Linked DNA regions of Arabidopsis thaliana. The protein of the gene in region 1 purifies or fractionates together with the protein of each later gene. This does not show direct contact. Each region holds a gene or a part of one and is shown in the gene's direction. Other genes may lie near its edges.

What was found.
Region 2: the proteins of AT3G24150 (region 1) and NRPB2 purify together in Arabidopsis thaliana (affinity purification with mass spectrometry, with the first as the bait; one study listed by BioGRID). This does not show direct contact.
Region 3: the proteins of AT3G24150 (region 1) and 2-Cys Prx B purify together in Arabidopsis thaliana (affinity purification with mass spectrometry, with the first as the bait; one study listed by BioGRID). This does not show direct contact.
Region 4: the proteins of AT3G24150 (region 1) and THI1 purify together in Arabidopsis thaliana (affinity purification with mass spectrometry, with the first as the bait; one study listed by BioGRID). This does not show direct contact.

What each region holds. Positions count from the first base shown.
Region 1 is NC_003074.8:8,723,414-8,727,978, reverse strand, and holds AT3G24150 (uncharacterized protein), read left to right. Parts: upstream 1-1,992; 5' UTR 1,993-2,392; coding exon 2,393-2,493; intron 2,494-2,579; coding exon 2,580-2,694; intron 2,695-2,774; coding exon 2,775-2,889; intron 2,890-3,005; coding exon 3,006-3,706; 3' UTR 3,707-3,882; downstream 3,883-4,565. Other genes in the region: PMP (putative type 1 membrane protein), read right to left, coding at 110-247, 367-471, 573-643, 761-859, 945-1,020, 1,110-1,205, 1,524-1,598, 1,685-1,738.
Region 2 is NC_003075.7:11,536,337-11,544,482, reverse strand, and holds the start of NRPB2 (DNA-directed RNA polymerase family protein), read left to right. Parts: upstream 1-2,077; 5' UTR 2,078-2,282; coding exon 2,283-2,531; intron 2,532-3,307; coding exon 3,308-3,529; intron 3,530-3,631; coding exon 3,632-3,922; intron 3,923-4,032; coding exon 4,033-4,230; intron 4,231-4,321; coding exon 4,322-4,386; intron 4,387-4,489; coding exon 4,490-4,576; intron 4,577-4,653; coding exon 4,654-4,774; intron 4,775-4,869; coding exon 4,870-4,914; intron 4,915-5,006; coding exon 5,007-5,144; intron 5,145-5,277; coding exon 5,278-5,350; intron 5,351-5,515; coding exon 5,516-5,592; intron 5,593-5,670; coding exon 5,671-5,778; intron 5,779-5,864; coding exon 5,865-5,981; intron 5,982-6,073; coding exon 6,074-6,229; intron 6,230-6,310; coding exon 6,311-6,415; intron 6,416-6,498; coding exon 6,499-6,624; intron 6,625-6,717; coding exon 6,718-6,795; intron 6,796-6,888; coding exon 6,889-6,984; intron 6,985-7,073; coding exon 7,074-7,189; intron 7,190-7,264; and 8 more. Other genes in the region: AT4G21720 (defensin-like protein), read right to left, coding at 209-355, 453-491, 584-687, 897-950, 1,847-1,922. UniProt on the Arabidopsis thaliana protein: DNA-dependent RNA polymerase catalyzes the transcription of DNA into RNA using the four ribonucleoside triphosphates as substrates. Second largest component of RNA polymerase II which synthesizes mRNA precursors and many functional non-coding RNAs.
Region 3 is NC_003076.8:1,917,221-1,922,002, forward strand, and holds 2-Cys Prx B (2-cysteine peroxiredoxin B), read left to right. Parts: upstream 1-1,859; 5' UTR 1,860-2,159; coding exon 2,160-2,387; intron 2,388-2,787; coding exon 2,788-2,862; intron 2,863-2,979; coding exon 2,980-3,061; intron 3,062-3,150; coding exon 3,151-3,230; intron 3,231-3,404; coding exon 3,405-3,530; intron 3,531-3,649; coding exon 3,650-3,763; coding exon of another isoform or gene 3,764-3,796; exon of another isoform or gene 3,797-3,874; coding exon 3,875-3,991; 3' UTR 3,992-4,205; downstream 4,206-4,782. Other genes in the region: AT5G06280 (uncharacterized protein), read right to left, coding at 1,159-1,629.
Region 4 is NC_003076.8:22,244,436-22,248,933, forward strand, and holds THI1 (thiazole biosynthetic enzyme, chloroplast (ARA6) (THI1) (THI4)), read left to right. Parts: upstream 1-2,083; 5' UTR 2,084-2,198; coding exon 2,199-2,597; intron 2,598-2,720; coding exon 2,721-3,209; intron 3,210-3,294; coding exon 3,295-3,456; 3' UTR 3,457-3,897; downstream 3,898-4,498. Other genes in the region: AT5G54760 (Translation initiation factor SUI1 family protein), read left to right, coding at 297-333, 522-727, 890-943, 1,038-1,082; AT5G54780 (Ypt/Rab-GAP domain of gyp1p superfamily protein), read right to left, coding at 4,261-4,272, 4,359-4,442. UniProt on the Arabidopsis thaliana protein: Involved in biosynthesis of the thiamine precursor thiazole. Catalyzes the conversion of NAD and glycine to adenosine diphosphate 5-(2-hydroxyethyl)-4-methylthiazole-2-carboxylic acid (ADT), an adenylated thiazole intermediate.

The sequences.
Region 1 (4,565 bases):
ACTAAAGGTGACACATTTGCGTATGCAATGAACTCCACCCTCTAATTTATATACCAAGACTGAGAAACTGAGGAAAGGGAAAAAAACAGAATAACAAAAATGCCCTTACATCGATACCACCAAAGCGTCCAACCGTTAATTCGGCAGTTCTGTCAATACCATGAGATAAATCGTCATAAACGCTGACTGCCTGTCTGATATTCTGATATAGACCCAAAAGGTTCAATGCAAATTTCCTCTCTGCTTCCTGCCCAGAGAAACAAAAGTCATGTGCCTTCTTCATATGAAAATCACAATATCTACAGGTAATACAGCAACCTCTCCCACATAAAATCATACAATTTTTCATGGAATTAAGAATATTACCTTTTCCAAATTGAACTCCACATTAGCACCCCCAGCCAGAGGGATACTCAACAATCCAGACGATGGTTCAGCTCCAGCAACATATGATCCACCCAACCAAGATGCCTAAGTATATTATAACCACACCATTAACTTGTGGTCACATTATATTAAAAAGGAAAAAAAAATAGTGTTTGCACTTAGAATGACAGGTGCTGTTAACTAACAAAATCATTAATGTCCTTGTCAGTCACATCAGAGGAGGGTTCATTGACAGACACAACAACCACTTCATTGTCTGCAGAATTTTGAAAAGATTAGCAGAATATCCAAAGTAAGACTTAAACCCATAAAGAAAAAAAAGTTAGAAACTAGTCATGCTCAGATGGTTCTGGTATTCAAGCTGATAGGGCACCTGGAAGTTCAGTATCAGCTTTGTACGAATCAGACTTAATACTGCTCCTTATGGCATTGCCCAAGAAAGAATGACTAGGGGAGGTTTCCAAAAGCATATCTGCAAGTAAAAAACAAACACTTGAATATTTTACAACTAAAATTTTTGGTTCATGTCAGAAAACTAAAGCTTTCCAATCACATACCATCAGCTCCAGCGATTTCTAGCACAAAAGCAGCGCGAGGCCTCTCAAATGGATTAGGTTTTAGAATCTTGTTCAACTATAACAAAATGCAAAACAAATAAACGATGAAGTACAGGACTTTAACCCAGAGAGAGAAAAACAACTCTACTATAATACTAAAATAACCTTGGATGAGCCATCAGCTGTCAAAGTTGCTGAAGGTGCAAAACCCAACAAGGCAGACACTGCTGCAGATATTTCAACAGGCGACATGGGAAGTGCCTGTGCATTTCAATTCAAAGAAAAGAGATTTAACTAAAATTCATCAAAAAGAACTATTAAATCACAAACTTTAGTACTTGTCAAACATAAATTTGCAATCTGTCCATTGATCTCTCATCAATATCAAAATAACAAAAAAAAACAGACAAGAAAACTACAAATTGGTGCCACTTAGACCAAACAATAGATCTTATTTTACTACTTCAATGGACCAAACTCGTATAATTTCCAGAAACGATCTTAGATTGAAATATAAAATGATCAAATTTGAGATTATTTCAAATCGGTCATCCACACATTTGGGACGAAAATCATTACCTCACTGGATGATCGTGGACGAAGATATTGATTGTTGGATCCATCAATGAAGAAAACAGAACCACTTGCTTCTCCCTATACACAAACAAAAGTCAGATCCATGTCATTACATACAAGCAATTCCGTAAACGAGAGCAAGACACGAAGGAACAAAAACGAACCCTATAATTCAAGGTGAGAAGAAGAGCAACAACGAATACGTAGAAAGCTTTCATCTTTAAGAACGAGAGTCGACGGAGAGAGAAAGAAAGAGATGGATCGGTGTTATCAGACGAGAGATGTTTAATGGAGGAGACGAATCCAGATTTCAGAATCAATCAAAGTGTTAGACACAACTCCAAAACGGTGTCGTTTGAAATTAATATTATCTGTTCAAAACCCGGTTATTTCAATTCCGGTTTAGTAAAAAGCCATATTAAACGACAGTTGCCGACAAAAAAAAAAAAAAAAACGACAGTTAGTACAAATAGGGGTATAATAGACAAATCACAAAACTGGTTCGTTTTTAAAGAAGCGGTCCCGAATCACACCATTTCCATTTCCATTTCCAGAAGCGGCAACGATGGAGACAACAATCGGAGATTCTATGACGATGATGATGACGGAGATGTGACCGGTATGAGCTCAAGTAGACGAAATCTCCAAACGATTCAGAGCTTCAAAGCTTCAGATCTGTTTCCTTGGATCGGTTAAAAAGAGTTTTAAGGTTGATTTTTCTTTCCACACCATTTGGCGACTCGTACATCGAACTCGCTGATCGGAAAATACTCCCGGATAGAAATTGAACCGATTAGTTTGATGAGTGAGTGACTTGTTACTTCGATTTGTAGCTGAGTGTGTCACTGCTCAAGTGTGTGAAGAAGGAGAAAATGCCGAGGCCAGGACCAAGACCTTACGAGTGTGTGAAACGAGCTTGGCATAGCGATCGTCATCAACCTATTCGTGGTTCGATTATTCGCCAGATTTTCAGGTTTTTTTCATTCACTCATCTTTCTCAAAACCGTACGCTAGGGTTTCTTTGTATCTTAATTTGGGGTTTTCTTTGTTTGATTTCAGACTCGCAATGGAAGCACATAGCGCAGCGACGAGGAAGAACAAAGAATGGCAGGAGAAATTGCCTGTGGTTGTGTTAAAAGCTGAAGAAATCATGTACTCTAAAGCCAATTCCGAGGTTTTAAACAAATTTTCCTTCTCTTTTTTTAGTGTGTTTTCAGCTTCACAAAATGACAATTGGGTTTCGGTTTCCATTAGGAAGAGTATACAGATGCTGATACTATGTGGAATAGAGTAAATGATGCCATTGATACAATTATTAGAAGAGATGAGAGTACAGAAACTGGTCCTCTTTTGCCTCCATGTGTTGAAGGTAATTGTCATTTTTGTTTCTCTCTTTAGCTCTAGTGATCCTTATTGAAACTACTTAGAAGTTAGTGCTTTGTACTGTTTATTGTTTGTTGATGTGGTTTTTTTTTATATGGTTAGCTGCTCTTAATTTGGGATGTATTGCTGTAAGAGCTTCAAGAAGCCAACGACATAGTAGCGGAAGGACTTACCTCGGTCCTAAAATTCAGGAACCGGTTTCTGCGTCGACTAATGAGCCGTCTTACCATCATGAATATCGTCAGCAAGCTCAACAATCATCAACCAAACCAAGCCAGACAGTTCAAGCTGCAGTCCCTGTTGATGTACTTGATAACAGCAACAAGCGTGTAGCTACTCCTCGCGGTTACCCGTTTCTTCATGAATCCATGCAGATGCATCAAAAGCCATTGGCAATTAGACAAGGAACTGGTCCTGCTTCTGCTCCTGCTCCAGCTCCAGTCAACTTGGGTTCGGTCTATCCTTTGTATTACGAAGGTAATAATCAAACGCAGCAAGCTGACATGTCTTTTAGAGTCCCTGAAGCGCCCATAATCATTGGCATGCCTATTGGTATAAAGCCCTCAGAAGAAGCAACTGAGAGGGTCTGTGATTTATCCTTGAGGCTCGGTATATCTTCAGAACCGTCTACAAGAATAGATGTCGGGTCTAGTCGGGCTTACCCGGGAAGAAACCAAGAAGAGTTATGTTTATTCGCAGAGGTAAAGAAGAATGATAGGTTTGAATGGTTTTCAAATAGTGAAGGTCAGAATTCAGATTCGAGAGTTAAAAAGCACAGAACTTTGTGTGGAGACTTCCTTTAGGACTTGCTTAGTTGTTGTAAAAGCTTCAGGTTTATTGGTTTACTATTTTATTGACTCTACTAGTCTTAGCGTTCGCTTCAAGTTTTATAATAAAGATCCATGGATTGATCTTAAGTATGGTAAGCTAAATTCTGGATCCAAGAATTAGTTAATCCATTTATATATGTTTGTTTAAATGTGAAATTAATAGAAAGAATTAGGTTAGTTACAAGTGCTAACATATTCAGGGTAAATTGGAGAGAAAACAGAGTTTATATAATCATAACCATAGGTTGAATAAATGTAATTGAGCTTTAATACTGAAGAAGCTACTCACTGATCAAATACCATCATTTTGAACTGTCTTTTTTTAAGTTGTTTTCTAAGTTTTTTCGTACATTGTCAGTGACCACTTTTGGTGTAGATAATCGTGGGTATCACTTTTACGATATTTGTGCAAAGAAAAAAAGGAAAGATGATAGATTGTTCCTAACGTCGGAGATGGATTCTCGACTAAATTACAACAAAGAACGTACACTATTGTCATTGCAGCGTGAACGTACATTGCATGCGAGAGACCAACTTTGTTTATAATCAAAACAAACGAAAATGAGACTTTTTTTTCATAAAAAAACAAAGGTGTGTCGTTGAAAGTTGATATTGATCTATTTCACCAAATTAATTAGCATTTTTGAGGGTTCATTGTAGCTTCATCACTAAACAGTTTGTAAATCTTGGTTGATGTTAAACATTCAGACCAGTTCTGATACAAGAAAATTCTTTTCAAAGAAAAAAATTGCTTTATAAAAAGTAATGTACACTCGTGATTCACGAGTCATTAACATGCAATAAATTAAAAGGAGCTTATATATATTTGTAA
Region 2 (8,146 bases), on another chromosome or scaffold:
GATGCTCTAACTTTCATCACGGGACGAGTCCCACTAATATCTACTCTCCAATCTCTATTGCAAAAACTATCAAAAGAAAAAGAAAAAAAAAAGTTTATGGACCAATCCTTTGAGTTGGCTACTCTGAAAAGTAATACTCCCTCATATGTTTAGATACCAAAAAATTGAGGAGTTCCAAGTGTTAGCCTTTGATGGGGGTTGAGATACGTCAAGCGGAAGTTGCAAGAACATCCTCAGTAGGAGGCTGCATTGGTTTTTGAGAACGTGGTGGTGGTGGTGGTGGTTGTGGCTTTGGCGGTGGTGGTGGAGGTCTCTTTGGTTTCACCTTATTGACTATCTCAGCTTCAACATCAAACTGCATGATGACAAAAAAATACAGCCACACGGGTTCAGAGAAGTAGAGTGTATTTCCAAACGCATCAAATTATTGAGGTTGAAGCAAGGAAACAAACCTTGTAACCACAGCCTGCTACACATGCGTGAAAGCATTCCTGAATTTAAAAACAGAGTTACATGTACAACAATTAGATACGGTTCAGTCCATTTCTCTTTTTTGAAGAAAAAGATTCATTGTGTGAATTACCTCAGAGTATTTGGCATCTCCAGGAGAACGATCTATAACAGCAGTCCATGGTCTGTCTTTTAGCACAGGATCTTTGTAGCAAATTTCACTGCAGTCTCCTACACCTATAGAGAGTACACTACTATTACACCAATTCATTAACTTGGAAACTTAAACCTGAAAAGCAGAAGATACTCTTCATGAACATGTAATTTCGTTATGTAGGAGACAAGCTTGGTTTTTATGATGTTCCATAGTGAGGACAAATCTAACCGCTCATCATTTCATCAACAGTTTCGTTACAGATTACAAAGAATTAAAAAGAAATGCTTACAATCTTCCCATGAGTCACTATCGGCATCACATCCCTTTTTGCAGAATACTCTCCCTACACAGATTCAGGAATTACATTAGTGCTATGGAAAAAATGTCATACAACAACATGGAGGATAAACACTGATGCTAAAGCTGAAAAAAAACCCAGATTGCTATGGAAAAAATGTCATACCAAGCATAAGTTCAGCTAGCTTTTGTGCCCATGAATGAAATTCAGAGATCAGAGAATGAAAAGCTTTCATCAGAAAGACAGAAACAGCCAAACCAAGCCCTTTAACTAGCTTAAGCATACATATATGTCAATAGTTCATAGAAGCAACATGGATACAGAAGCATCTTTGATACCGTTACTTTGACTCTCTCCCTTTAAATTTCTTTCAGTTCATAAACTACAACTTATTATCTTCCACTTTCTCCTACTAATTTAACCATTTTCTTAATTACATGATAGAAAAGCTCTAAGAACTCTGCATAATCTCCCTTACTTGTAATCAATATAAATGTTGCCGATTCTTCAATCTACATTATTCAATTACGAGTCAAGATGGATGTTCTTAAATACTTGCAACTACAACTATAAGTTGTCTCTGGACCAATCTAACCAAAGAAGCGATTCTTGACCAAAATGTTTAGTATAATCGTAATGAAGTAGAGTGCACCAACAAATAATTAGGGTTTATGAATCAAGAAATCAATCAACAATCCAATTTACAGATCCCAATTTCAATTCCAAACAACAACAAAAAGAAGAAACACTCGGAAGACTAAATTGACTTTTGAATCAAGAAATCAATCACCAATCCAAATCAGAACCCAATCTATCAGCTCCAACAACAGATTCTTATCATCATCATCGAAAACTAAACCATCAAAAAACAACGGACCACGAACATCAAAACTCAAAAACGAATCCGATTCACACAAATTAAGAGTCCAGATATTACATACATGGAAGCTGCGTAAATGCTGAGTACTTATTCGTGCATTTGCTCCCACACGGCGGCGTCCATTGCTGCGGTATCATCTCTCTCTCCCTTCCTCCGCCTTCACTCTCCGTCTCTCTCTCTCTTCTTCCGAAAATATCGCTGACGCCACAAAAATGTAGCCGGAGACTTTTCTTTATATAGTAAGGGTGTTTCCGTCATTTAACAATCCAAGCTCTCTAACAACCAAACCGATCCTTTTTATAATCCCATTTAATCAAACCGGTTATTGATACAAACCGGTTATTTCCATAAACTTAAGCCGACTTCTCTCTCTCGAGCCTTTATAAACTCACAATCTCACAAAGCCGTCTCATTCTCTGCGTCCTGTCTCTCTCTTTGTCTCCGAGAGCTCGAGTAGTGAAGTTTGCTGTGCTCTAATCTTCAGAGAGTGAGAATAAATGGAGTACAACGAATACGAACCTGAACCTCAATATGTAGAAGACGATGACGATGAGGAGATTACCCAGGAGGACGCGTGGGCTGTTATATCTGCTTATTTCGAAGAGAAAGGTCTCGTTCGTCAACAGCTGGATTCGTTTGATGAGTTTATTCAAAATACTATGCAAGAAATCGTTGATGAGTCTGCTGATATCGAGATCCGACCTGAATCTCAGCATAATCCTGGCCATCAGTCCGATTTTGCGGAGGTTGTTTCCTCGTTTTTGTTTTTTTCTAGGGTTTCTATGGGAATTCGAAATTATGTGCGGGTTTATCGTGTTTGTGGCGGTTTTAAAGTGTTTCGATTTGAGCTTCTACCGTTTGGGTGCGATTAGGGTTTACCTGAATCTTATTGATGTCCCGAGATTGTCTTGTTATTCAATGCTTGAGCTATATGCTGTTCAAGAGTCAAAAAATGATTTTGACTATTGATGTCCGGATATTGACTTTGAGCTGGTAATCTTATTAATGTCCCGAGATTATCTTTGAGTTAATGCTTGAGCTCATCTCTTTCGAGGAGGATTTATAGTATTGGTTGAAACTCAAATCAGTTTTGGCACTATAAAAATGAGTTTGGTATCTTTTTTTGCTGTCCCTTTGGTCTGTTTTCCTGCAGACAGTCTATTGTTAGCCCTTATCTGAGAAGCTTATCTCAATGATTTCCCATGATTATCTTTGTATTCGATGCTTGAGCTCTTCGCTTTTTTGAGGTGTATTTTCAGTGGTTTTGAATATTGGTTAAAGCTTAAATCAGTTTTTAAGTTTTGTTGCAATTAGGGTCTGCCTTTGTCGAGTAGCTAAGCTCATTGATTTTCCGAGATTATCTTTCCATTTAATGCTTGAGCTCTTCGCTTTTTTCAAAGTGTCCTTTCAGTGGTCTTTATTATCGGTTGAAGCTCAAATCATTTTTGACTTTGTGTGAGCTGAGATATAGCTGTTTTGCTATCTGTTTTTCTGTATGTCTGATATAGCTGTTTTCCTGCAGACAATCTACAAGATTAGCTTTGGACAGATTTATCTGAGTAAACCTATGATGACAGAGTCTGATGGAGAGACTGCCACCCTGTTCCCTAAGGCTGCAAGGTTGAGAAATCTCACATACTCTGCGCCTTTGTATGTCGATGTTACTAAGAGAGTTATTAAGAAAGGGCATGATGGTGAAGAAGTTACGGAGACACAGGATTTTACTAAAGTTTTCATTGGAAAGGTGTCCGAACTCAGTTCATTGTGTCACATTTATTTAGGTGTTTCCATGTACTCTACTGTTCTGATAGTAGAAATGTTTTCTTCTTGTTTGATTATTTGCTAGGTTCCCATCATGCTCCGGTCTAGTTACTGTACCTTGTTTCAGAACTCGGAGAAAGACCTGACAGAGCTTGGAGAATGTCCTTATGATCAGGGTGGATACTTCATTATTAATGGCAGTGAAAAGGTTCTGATTGCTCAGGAGAAGATGAGTACGAATCATGTTTATGTGTTCAAGAAAAGGCAGCCAAATAAGTATGCTTATGTTGGTGAAGTCCGTTCTATGGCTGAAAACCAAAATAGGCCTCCAAGCACAATGTTTGTGCGTATGCTTGCTCGTGCTAGTGCAAAAGGGGTAAGAGAAAGCTAATTAGTCTTAACTCTACTATATCCTTCCTCGAAATTTATTCTTTAAATTCTAGATAATGGTAAATAAATTACATTCTATGTTGCAAATGGATGCAGGGTTCATCTGGACAGTATATTCGATGTACTCTTCCATACATCAGAACAGAAATTCCTATTATCATAGTATTTCGTGCACTGGGATTTGTTGCCGATAAGGACATATTGGAACACATCTGCTATGATTTTGCCGATACCCAGATGATGGAGTTGCTCAGGCCTTCCTTGGAAGAAGCTTTCGTTATTCAAAATCAGCTGGTATCCACTTTTTTTTCACTTGGTTAATGACATTTTATTATGCTTGAGGAATTGATCTTGCAATCACTTGATAACTTTCATATTACTTCAGGTTGCACTTGACTATATTGGAAAACGTGGTGCAACTGTTGGTGTAACCAAGGAAAAAAGGATAAAGTATGTGATAATCTAAACCAATTAAGTTGGACATTATGATCTAAGATGTCAACTATTGAGATGTTCACACTGGAGGTTTGCGATTGCAATATTATCATTGCAGGTATGCTAGAGATATCCTTCAGAAAGAAATGCTTCCTCATGTAGGAATTGGGGAGCATTGCGAGACAAAGAAAGCTTACTATTTTGGGTAGGTATTTAACTCACTTGTAATGTTTATAGACTTAACATGTTTCTGTGTTGCTCATATTATGCTATGATCCGTAGGTATATCATACACCGGCTGCTGCTTTGTGCACTTGGCCGAAGGCCAGAAGATGATAGGGATCATTATGGTAACAAAAGGCTGGATCTTGCTGGTCCTTTACTTGGAGGGCTATTTAGAATGGTTTGTTCCCGGCACACAATTATACACTCTTGGGGATTGTTGAGTATCAGTGTTTTTTTTATCTCTTACTGACCTAACATCTTCTCTACATGCAGCTTTTCCGAAAGTTAACAAGGGATGTGAGATCTTATGTTCAAAAGGTATCTTACATAGTTACTCTTTCTCGAGCCAAAGACTTTAGTATTAAGTTGTTATTCTGTGTTTGGAAGTCTGATTCATGTTTCTTTGACAGTGCGTTGACAATGGCAAAGAAGTCAATCTTCAATTTGCCATTAAGGCTAAAACAATTACCTCTGGCCTGAAATATTCTCTTGCTACTGGGAACTGGGGCCAGGCAAACGCTGCTGGCACAAGAGCTGGAGTCTCTCAGGTTAGGATAATTCTATGTTAATTATGTTTTTGAGTTCCAATAATTTCTTGATGTATGTTATCGGGTTTACTGTTTTGGCCTATTATAATTCATTGCATGATTTATATGGCTCTAAAGACTTAACTAACAACAGGTTCTTAACCGGTTGACATATGCTTCGACTTTGTCACATCTGAGGCGTCTCAATTCTCCAATAGGACGTGAAGGTAAAGCCTCGTTCTTTTCCTGCACTTCTATTTTGTCTCTGTGTAACTGTTCGTACAGTTGGTGTATTTTAGTCATGGTTCTCTTTATTATCCACATCCTTGCAATTTAGATTGGCTTGTACTTTTGTTTATCCCACTTGAATCTAATCAAGTCTGATATGCCAGGAAAATTGGCAAAACCAAGACAACTGCACAACTCACAGTGGGGAATGATGTGCCCTGCTGAAACACCTGAAGGACAGGTAAAATTGTTATATTTATAAAATAAGGGTGTTTCGGATTTTATAGTTCCATTGCTCATTGTGGCTTTGCTGTACCAGGCTTGTGGTCTAGTGAAAAACTTGGCTCTCATGGTCTACATAACAGTTGGGTCAGCTGCTTATCCTATATTGGAATTTTTGGAAGAATGGGGTACTGAGAATTTTGAGGTCTGTAGCATTTCACATTCAATTTCTTACCCAACATCTGCCTCCTTGGTTCTTGTGGTTTCCTGAAGGTCTTAACTTGAATATAGGAAATATCTCCATCTGTTATACCCCAAGCCACAAAAATCTTTGTCAATGGAATGTGGGTTGGAGTTCATAGAGATCCTGACATGTTGGTGAAAACGTTGAGACGTTTGAGACGAAGGGTAAGCATGCAGTTTCTTTCACGTTTCCATATATGCTAGTGAAAATATTGCAACTTTATGCAGAAGTGACATATTACTTTTTCCTCTTGCAGGTTGATGTCAACACTGAAGTTGGTGTAGTTAGAGATATCCGTCTTAAAGAGCTCCGGATATACACTGATTATGGACGTTGTAGCCGTCCGTTGTTTATTGTAGATAATCAGAAGCTCTTAATAAAGAAGAGAGATATCTATGCTCTGCAACAAAGGGTAAAATTCTAATTTTTACCTGTTATCAAAGTATCTTTTGTTATAAATTCCATTGTACCAATATTTGTTTTCATAACCCAGGAAAGTGCAGAAGAAGATGGTTGGCATCATCTGGTTGCTAAGGGCTTTATAGAATACATAGACACAGAAGAAGAGGAAACGACCATGATTTCCATGACTATCAGTGTGAGTAATGAAATGAAGATGTGATTAAATGAGTTTGTGGTGCACTAATTTCTGCAGAAATCTTACTCTTATGTTTGTTGTAGGATCTGGTTCAAGCTAGACTCCGCCCAGAAGAGGCTTATACTGAAAACTACACACATTGTGAGATTCACCCATCTCTGATATTGGGGGTCTGTGCTTCAATCATACCATTTCCTGACCATAATCAGGTACCTCTGTCTAAATGACTTTTCTATCAGAAGCGATTTCATTATGTAAATTCAGTTTCATGCTAACTAACCCTTTACTTTTTGATGTATTAGTCACCTCGTAATACATATCAATCTGCCATGGGGAAGCAAGCAATGGGAATTTATGTCACCAACTACCAATTTCGCATGGTATGTTCTAGGCTCTTAATTTGTGGTCTTTCTTGTCAGCTCTTGTTACATCACTCAATATTTTAAAGAAATTATTATTGTTCTGTCAACCAGGATACGTTAGCTTATGTTCTCTATTATCCACAAAAGCCTTTGGTTACTACAAGAGCTATGGAGCATCTTCACTTTAGACAACTTCCAGCAGGAATTGTAAGTTATTTTTGCTAGAAGTTTTTCAGAATTCAGCATTGCTCGTGTATCAAATCTCTCAAATGTTTTTTTTTCTTCTTCTTGTGCAGAATGCTATTGTTGCCATTTCTTGCTATTCTGGATATAATCAAGAAGATTCTGTCATCATGAATCAGTCTTCAATAGATCGTGGTTTCTTTCGATCCTTGTTCTTTCGGTCTTACAGGTGAGTATGCTATACTTTTGGACGTTTGCCTTCGGTCTTTCCATTTATTTATACTGCAATCACGTTTGCTGACAGAGATGAGGAGAAAAAAATGGGGACGCTTGTCAAAGAAGACTTTGGGCGCCCAGACAGAGGAAGTACAATGGTAAGAAAGTAATTGACACATGGTTCATACTTCAGTGGTGCTTTTTGTAAGTGAAGTTTAACACTTGGGTTTCTGCTGCAGGGTATGCGACATGGTTCTTATGATAAACTGGATGATGATGGTCTTGCGCCTCCTGTAAGTTTATAATTTATTGTTCCTTAATTATTTATTATCTGATATGATTAGGTGACTAATGTTAGAAAGCATATCATACAATCTTTTATTTTTGGTATAGGGTACTAGAGTTTCAGGTGAAGATGTTATCATTGGGAAAACCACTCCAATATCTCAAGATGAGGCTCAAGGACAATCATCCCGATACACTAGACGTGATCATAGTATAAGCTTGCGACATAGTGAAACTGGAATGGTGGATCAGGTAACTTTGGCTTTTCCTTGCAGTTAAGGGTTTAGAAAGTTTCAGGATTGAAATATGAAACTGATCAATTCTTGTAACTTCGTGTAGGTGTTATTGACTACAAATGCAGATGGTTTGAGGTTTGTGAAAGTGAGGGTCAGATCCGTGCGGATTCCTCAAATTGGAGACAAATTTAGTAGTAGACACGGTCAGAAGGGAACTGTTGGCATGACCTACACGCAGGAGGATATGCCATGGACGATTGAAGGGGTCACTCCGGACATTATTGTGAATCCACATGCTATTCCGTCTCGAATGACAATTGGACAGCTAATTGAGTGCATCATGGGAAAAGTGGCAGCTCACATGGGAAAAGAAGGAGATGCTACTCCCTTTACAGATGTCACGGTAACTTGCATTTTCCTTAGCTGCTTAGTTAGCATTGGGCTTGGTA
Region 3 (4,782 bases), on another chromosome or scaffold:
ATTTCATCACAAGAATCATAATGTTAGACCCTCTTTCTCTCTCGTCTTTCCTTCATCTGGTTTTATATTTAGGCATTTTCGTTCTTCTTTCTCTTAGATTTTCTGGAAAATTTGCAGATTGCTTGTGGGTTACGCGTACCCTGCATATGGATGCTACAAAAGCGTGGAAAAGAAAAAGCTTGAGATTCACGAACTTAGATACTGGTGCCAATATTGGTAAAGCTTACTAATTGTTAATAAAGAAGATTCCTTTTTTGGATAAGGGTATCTTATTCTCATAACCATCTTATCAAAAATCCGAATTTGATTTGTAGGATCTTGGTGGCTCTTCTTACTGTTTTCGAAAGGATAGGAGACATCATTGTATCATGGTTAGTACTTATATGTCAAACTTCAAATCTCCATCATATGCTTCTTTATTGTATGAAACCTTCTGATTCATCTCATCTATCCGCAGGTTACCACTCTACGGAGAGATCAAAATCGCTCTTCTCATCTACTTATGTTACCCGAAATCACAGGTACTAACTACAGTACAATGCAATAAAAATCTAATGAGAATTCATTCTCATTCTTAGATTCACAAAACGACCAATCTTCTTCTCTTGGTTTCTAACAGGGACTTAGCTATGTCTACGAGAAGCTACTATGTCCATACATGTCAAAACATGAATCTGACATCGATCAAGGAATCTCTGTCTTAAAGATAAGAGGACATTTAGTAATTGCTCAACTACTGCAATGTATCTTCCACTGGAGCCTCCAAATCTTCAAGCAATTGCAACAACAATTCACCATCTATAAGGTATTCAAAACAAACATATACATCCTCAAGCTTTACTGCATCAGAGCACTCTCACCAAATCCATCACTTCCTTTGTCTACAGAATAAAAACCAATCAAAGTCAAAAGATCAACAACAAACAAGAACTTCTTTAATGTTTCTCCGTTAGAAGGTGCCTGCTATACTACTCTAAGCCACAATCTCAATAACCGGGTTTTTAAACCGCCGGTTAACCGGAGTTTCACATGACTTCAAATTGACCACAGACGAACAAAAAAAAAAAGATTTTTCCTTTGATATGTTTTGAATATTGTAACACTTTATTGTATACAATTCAATTCATGAAAAATCCAATTTTCTCACCAAATCAAAGTTTATTTGACAATCAAAGGAACACGAAACGATTGAAAAATCCAATCAAACACACGTCGCAAGAACTGAAACCCGGCGGATAAGTGAAGCCAAACGCGGCGGAAGAATTGAGAACCAGCAGAATCATCTGACGAAGTAAGCACCGTTGGTTGAAGATAAGACAAAGCAGCTTGCTTAACGAGACGGTTACGAATCGAGATATCTCCGGCGGCGGTGGATATAACAGGAGAGCAGCTACCGTTGATCGACGGTAAATTGAGTGAAGAGTTAATCGGAGAAGAGATGATATCTCTGAGAGAAGTGTAAGCTACGAAAGAGGATGGTTTTACGGAGATGAGCTCGTAATCGAACGAAGACGGCGGCGTTGAAGCTATGTCGAAAGGAACTTCTGGAGGAGTTAGAGTCGTCATGTTGGATATGGATTTTGTACGGCGGAGTTGAGTCGCCGGAGATTGTGACGGCGGAATCTCCATAGTCTTTCTTCTTCTTTTTTTTTGTTTGGTTTGTTTGTGAGTTTGTGGCTGATTGGGTTTTGCGAGTGTTTAAAGTAAGGAAGGAGGTCCAATTATTGATCTCTATGATATGTACATTTGTCACTATCTTGTGTTGTATTAATTAGTAAAGAGATACGTTTACTTTATTTGTATTTTCTTAATTATTATGATTGGAATGGAAGATAGTAGGCAAATTACAAAATTTAAGGATTGATTACTATTTTTGATGTGAAGATTAGATGGAAATATATTCGGAAATCCAACCAGCCTAAAAATAGATTTTGATTTAATTATCAAAGTATGATCATCAACACGGTGTCGTTCCGGTTCATCGAACATTCCACTTCTTTCTTCTTGTCTGAAAAATCTAGAAGAGCAGCTATTTGGTTTCTCTATCCGATTCGTCTCTCTCACGCCCTCACGTTTATCCACCTCATCCTCAAACCAAACCACAAGACCTCTTTTTTAAGTAACCAATCACAGAGAGATAGAGAGAGAGAACAGAGTCAATGTCAATGGCGTCTATAGCTTCTTCTTCTTCCACCACCCTACTCTCTTCCTCTAGGGTTCTTCTTCCCTCCAAGTCTTCTCTTTTATCTCCTACCGTCTCTTTCCCCAGAATCATACCCTCTTCCTCGGCATCATCCTCTTCTCTCTGTTCCGGGTTCTCCAGTCTCGGTTCCCTCACCACCAACCGCTCCGCCTCACGCCGGAACTTCGCCGTCAAGGCTCAGGCTGTAAGTTGACTCGCAATGCCATAAATTTCTTGTATTTGCTCCATCTTCTCATTCACTATGATTGTTGTATGAATTCGTTAGCTTGTTATAATGGGATCCGTACTATTTTCCTGCTTCTTATCTCTTAAGGGTTTTGAGATCATTGGATAAAAGACTAAACTTTAAACTTTTTAGAGTTCTGCGATTTGAATTGAGCGACATTTTTGTTACCCTTCTTTCGGGTTTAATTAGGGATGGGAGGAAATGATCTGAAATTAATTAATATGATTCACATTTGGCTCATACACAGAAATCTTTTGAGCCCTGCATAGATAGTGAACACCAGTTAAAGAACATTTTGTGTGGTTAAACAATTCGATGATCGATGACTGACTAGTGTTTATATGTTTTATGAATGCAGGATGATTTACCACTGGTCGGTAATAAGGCGCCTGATTTTGAAGCTGAGGCAGTTTTTGATCAAGAGTTCATAAAGGTACTTTCATTCCATTCAAACCTTATTTAACATGTTAGTTAGTTAAGTGTCATAAGCTAAGGTCAATGCAGTAGAGCAATGTTCTGATAGTAATCGACCTATGAATCATGGTTTCAGGTGAAGCTCTCTGAGTACATTGGCAAAAAGTATGTTATTCTATTCTTCTACCCTTTGGACTTCACTTTTGTCTGCCCCACTGGTTAGTATTCTGCTAAGGAAATAGCTTCAAAACTGAAACTCTCGCCCTCATAGTCACTGAAATTTCCAATTTTTCTTTGCTTATTCTAGAGATTACTGCCTTCAGTGACCGTTATGAAGAATTTGAGAAGCTAAACACCGAAGTATTAGGGGTCTCTGTCGACAGTGTGGTAAGTCAAATTTTTATTTCTCCACCTGAACCAAGAAAGAACATTCTGGTCTCAGCATTTTGAAAAATGGTTTCAAGTATTTGATGTACTCAGAACCTTGGCAAGTGGCAGTCTGATAATCGAATGGAACGTTTTCTTTTGGATAATGGAACGTTTGATTCCATGTTCATGTAGTTCTCGCATCTTGCGTGGGTCCAAACAGACAGAAAGTCGGGAGGGCTCGGTGATCTGAATTATCCTCTTGTTTCGGATATCACTAAATCCATTTCAAAATCGTTTGGAGTGCTCATCCCTGATCAGGTAAACGATTTCTTCTGACATAGTTGCATCATACTTGCATTGAGTCCAATCCACTTGTGTTCTTTCAAGTAACGTATAGCCACTTTGAATCAAAGCATTTTGCTAATATATAAGTACAGGGCATTGCACTGAGAGGGCTTTTCATCATAGACAAGGAAGGAGTCATTCAGCATTCCACCATCAACAACCTCGGTATTGGCCGAAGTGTTGATGAGACAATGAGAACCCTCCAGGTAATAAAGAGAAAAATCACATCATTGAGATAGATAGATAAAGAGAGATTTGTTTTTGAGGTTTAGGGTTTAGATGCGTTATTTGTTGCTTCTTGTGATGTTGTCTTGCAGGCATTACAGTATGTTCAAGAAAACCCGGATGAAGTGTGCCCTGCGGGATGGAAGCCAGGGGAGAAATCAATGAAACCTGACCCCAAGCTCAGCAAAGAATACTTTTCAGCTATCTAGAGGCTAAGATTGAACACATGTTTGGTGAAAATTAGCAATCAGAGTTGTTTTATTCGTCTTTTCAAAGTTGGAGCAGAGTTGTTATTTTTAGCCAAAGAACCTTTGTATCTATCTCATCTTTCTCCTGTTTCTGCTATGTGATTCTCCTTAAATTGAATCAAAAATAAAGAAATCCTTCTTTTCTTTTGCCAATATTTATGTCTTTCACTTGTGTAAATAGTTTATAATAATGCAAAGAGGCAGAGTATTTTGACCATTGCAAAAAATAAATTAGAAAAATATCATGTGAGGTCACAGCTCCCTGGAATTAGATAACTATCTGATTGATTTGTTTAATAAACTTGAGTGCTCATTAAGCTAATCTCCATCTGTAGCCGACAACAAAATTATGTTGTGGTATTACTCGGAATATTCTCCACTCGGATTAATTAAAAAATATCGTACATGATAATTTTCTGGTTAAATAAAAATCTGATACCTTTGACACGAGAAAAAAGTTAAAAACTAGAAGTTATGGATAAAATCAGAAAATAACCAAAAGAAAAGGATCGTTTTGTCATTTCTTGAAAATAGCCCTATCCTTTTTTTCCATTAAACCAAAATGTACAAAGACAAGTGGGGAGTGATAGGGTTTGGTATATACGCGGTTAGCAGTTACCCACATGGTTTATCCACTTCACACATTTAAACCACCCCTACAAAATAATGTTTATCAAAACGACCCCAATACTTTCTTTTGTCTTCTTTCCGCCCTTACCTTCTGATGTTAAACAACTTAATTTCCGCTGTAC
Region 4 (4,498 bases), on another chromosome or scaffold:
TGGGTTTTTGTAGTTTAATTTTCTTACTCGATGAACCATCTCGTGCACCTTGCAAAATCTTTTGTTCTATATCTCATTGTTCGATATCAAACTAATGAGGTTAACGTTTTTTGGTGAGACGACCAGTTATGTAACATGTTGTTAACTATCTTCATGTTTGAATCGATTTTGATTGGATGTTTTCATGTTCTATCATATTCTGCGGTTTTGAATCTTCTGAATTCTAACGTGAGGTTATCCTTCTTGTGCAGATCTCAGCTTCCCGGTTAGTACTACCCTCAAATCAACTAAGTTTCATGTCTGAACTTGACTCCCAGGTTCCCACTGCCTTTGGTATGTTTCTACTCTACCAAAACTTGAGATTGTATTAGTCACTGATCTTCTTCTACTTGTTTTAGATACTTGAACATGTTATCATTTGTAAATACATGTTAATCAAAGCATCATTTTTTGTTTGATTATGCTGTTTATCTTACATGGGAATCTGTTTATCTCTCTCAATTTGCTGTTGCTTGTTTCAGATCCGTTTGCTGATGCGAATGTTGAGGACTCAGGTGCCGGAACAAAAGAATACGTTCATATCCGTGTCCAGCAGCGAAATGGTAGGAAAAGCTTGACAACCGTCCAGGGCCTGAAGAAAGAGTACAGCTATACCAAGATACTTAAGGACCTCAAGAAAGAGTTTTGCTGCAACGGCACTGTGGTTCAGGATTCAGAACTCGGACAGGTAGGTTTTATCAAAACACTCTATTGATCCATGTAGTGGAAAGTGGATGATAATATTTCTGTCGTTAGTGCCTGCTTGAACAAACCAGAATGATTTGGCCTCTTATCTGAACATTTGAGCTTCTCTGTTTTAGTTTTGTTTATGGTTTGTGTTGATTTGTAGGTTATACAGCTTCAAGGTGACCAACGTAAGAACGTCTCCACATTCCTTGTCCAGGTAAATATCAATAACTCTACGAGTCTCTTTACTGCTAAAACATACAAACTGTGTAAGATGATTGTCTGATCTCACTGTTTCTCTGTAATCACAGGCTGGTTTGGTGAAGAAGGATAACATCAAGATCCATGGTTTCTAAGCTATCTAGTGGATCATATTATTAATAAAACCATATCTTTTTCTTTCATCTCTTGTTGCGAATTTCGGGTTTGATTCATCAAAATCGTCTTCTTCCTAGTGTTCTTCTTCTGTTTGGTATTCGAATTTTAATGGCTTATGTTCACCATACTTCTTCCCCTGTTTTCGTGTTACTCTGTTTCACATCTTACTTATCTTATAATATCAGTTTGTTAAGATAATTCTGCTCTAACTTGTTATAATTTTTCTCTACAATGGTTCATAGTTTTAAAATTATATAAGGACCAACCGGAAGTTTATACGGTCGATACTTTCCAAGTATACCAAATTGCAGGTTTTAGTTTGGACCACAAAAAAGTTCAATGATCAAAAAGGCTGATGTATCTTCTCACTAGTAATAATAATTCATAAGCACACAAATAATGATAAATGAACTGTCTCTGTCACTAGTAAAGTCCAAATGCCGTCTCTATCGTACAAAGATATTTCACCTTCTTGTTGTTCGTGTCACCACACACTCACTGCAACTGGCTACAGATGTTCCCAGATAAAAGCTTCGAGATATTTTTTTATACATTTATTTTGATCCATATCACAATATTAATTGCAAAGTTTTTTCCCTTTTCTTCAAGAAATAGAGCAATCCGATTCAGTCAATTCTTTGAAGTTATAACAGTAATCAATTCGCCATTAATTTTATACATTTAATCAATGTATAATATAAGTATTTTTCTTTCATAAATGGGGGAAAAAAATAGAGATAGTTTTTGACCAAAAAAAAAATAAAAAAAAATAGACATAGTCATTGGAGATGGTTTTACTAAATTTGGGCTTGTTCAAGAGAAGTGTCTTTTCTTCATTCAATCAGAACCGTGAAGAAAGGAGATCGTTACTTTCCATTGATGGCTAAAAATTAAAATAATCACGATAAATATTAATAATACAAAAAACAATTAAAATAACAAAAAAAGATCAAAAATTCTCTAACCCTTCATTCCTTATCTCTGACGTGGCCATCAATCTTCAGATTTTCTTCTTCTTCTAATTTAAATACTCAACAACCACTCTTCACTTCACCATCAGCATCACTAAACTCGAACCCTAAAGAAAAACAAAAATGGCTGCCATAGCTTCTACTCTCTCTCTTTCTTCAACCAAACCTCAGAGACTTTTCGATTCTTCCTTCCATGGCTCAGCCATCTCCGCAGCTCCTATCTCCATCGGTCTCAAACCACGATCTTTCTCCGTTCGCGCCACAACCGCTGGTTACGACTTGAACGCTTTCACGTTCGACCCGATCAAGGAATCGATCGTGTCACGTGAGATGACGAGAAGGTACATGACGGATATGATCACTTATGCTGAGACTGATGTCGTCGTCGTTGGTGCTGGATCTGCTGGTTTATCTGCTGCTTATGAGATCAGTAAGAACCCTAATGTTCAAGTTGCCATTATTGAGCAATCTGTTAGTCCTGGTGGTGGTGCTTGGCTCGGTGGTCAGCTTTTCTCCGCCATGGTAAGATTTAGATTCATTTGCATGTGTGATTTTGTTGAAGTTTTGAGTTCTGTTTCTGTTTTAATGGAGAATTAGGGTTTAGATTGAATCATTATGAGTATTGATTGCTTGTGCTTATGGTAGATTGTTCGCAAACCAGCTCACTTGTTCCTTGACGAGATTGGTGTGGCTTACGATGAGCAAGACACCTACGTTGTGGTTAAGCACGCGGCTCTGTTCACATCAACCATCATGAGCAAGCTTTTGGCTCGTCCTAATGTGAAGCTCTTCAACGCTGTGGCTGCTGAGGATTTGATTGTGAAAGGAAACAGAGTTGGTGGTGTGGTGACTAACTGGGCTCTTGTGGCTCAGAACCACCACACACAATCGTGTATGGACCCTAATGTTATGGAAGCGAAGATTGTGGTTAGCTCTTGTGGTCATGATGGTCCTTTTGGAGCTACTGGTGTTAAGAGGTTGAAGAGTATTGGGATGATTGATCATGTTCCTGGGATGAAAGCTTTGGACATGAACACTGCTGAGGACGCTATTGTGAGGTTGACCAGAGAGGTTGTTCCTGGTATGATTGTTACCGGTATGGAAGTTGCTGAGATCGATGGTGCACCGAGAATGGTGAGTATTCTTGACCTATATATGTTTGATTTGGTATCCATAGTTTTCGTTAGATCATGTCCTGAGTTAGTTTGTGGTGATGTAGGGACCAACTTTTGGTGCTATGATGATATCGGGACAAAAGGCGGGACAACTTGCTCTTAAGGCTTTGGGGCTACCGAATGCTATTGACGGAACTCTCGTTGGAAACCTAAGCCCGGAGCTGGTCTTAGCCGCAGCAGATTCAGCTGAAACCGTAGATGCTTAAAATCAAAAGGTTTTAACGTTAAGAAAAGTTTCCCTTGATCCTTCGGATGTTGAAGGAGTGCAATAAAAGGAGTTTAGGTGTTTAATATGTCTTGAACTTTTCTGGTGTCTTTGTTTCTCTCTTCTGAACTTCTGTGTAAAATATCGTATCCGTTCATTCGTAATGCGTATGTTCTCGTTCTTCTCCTTCTTTATGGCTCTAGTACAAGCAGCTTTCTCGTTGTCGTTGGCAATACAAAATCTGTCTAAATTTGAGGGATGAGATTAGTGTTGGATGTCGGATTCTTGTCTTCAATTCTGATTCTTATCCTTGAAGAAATTATGTATAGATAGAGCTATTCAATGTCTATAGTTTCTCTGCTGATGAAAGAACGAAGAGTTTTATGATTTTAGATTCAGAGAACAGAGGAAAACTGTGAAATAGAAAGAAAAAAGTTTTTACATTTCTTTTATGAACATATATATATATATATATATACTGATGTCTGACCTGGAATTCAAATACTCCATCCTTATTTACATATATAATCCGACTTAGAAGTGCAACAATGAGTTTAGAAATGACATCGATGATAATTCTTTTGTGTGCTTTTTTTTTGTTTTGGTTTGTGAAACAAATATTACAAAATGTGTGGATTTGTATGAACAGTTTACAACGAGAAGTTGTTGTGTAAATTGGGCTCTTTTCTTCAGAATTCTTGCCACCCAAGGAATCGTTAGTCACTTTTTTGTCGCCGGTTTTGTGAGTTATCAAATATGTATAAAAACATACAAAAACGCTACTACTCGTGAATCTTCTGCAATGCTATTTCTTGGCCTGAAATACCAAAAACAGAACAATCAGAGAGTTATAAGATAGCTAAAGAAGGATCATACACAAACTCATAAGAGTATAAAGCAAACCTTTTTAAGATACTTCTTGTGAAGTTTCATTGCACCAGTACAGGCTTTTTTAGCATCCAAGTTTCCGGTTATGTCGTTTAAGATCTGAGCAAAATACACAGATTAAAGAGGACTTCACTTGTAAAACAGATAAAAACCGC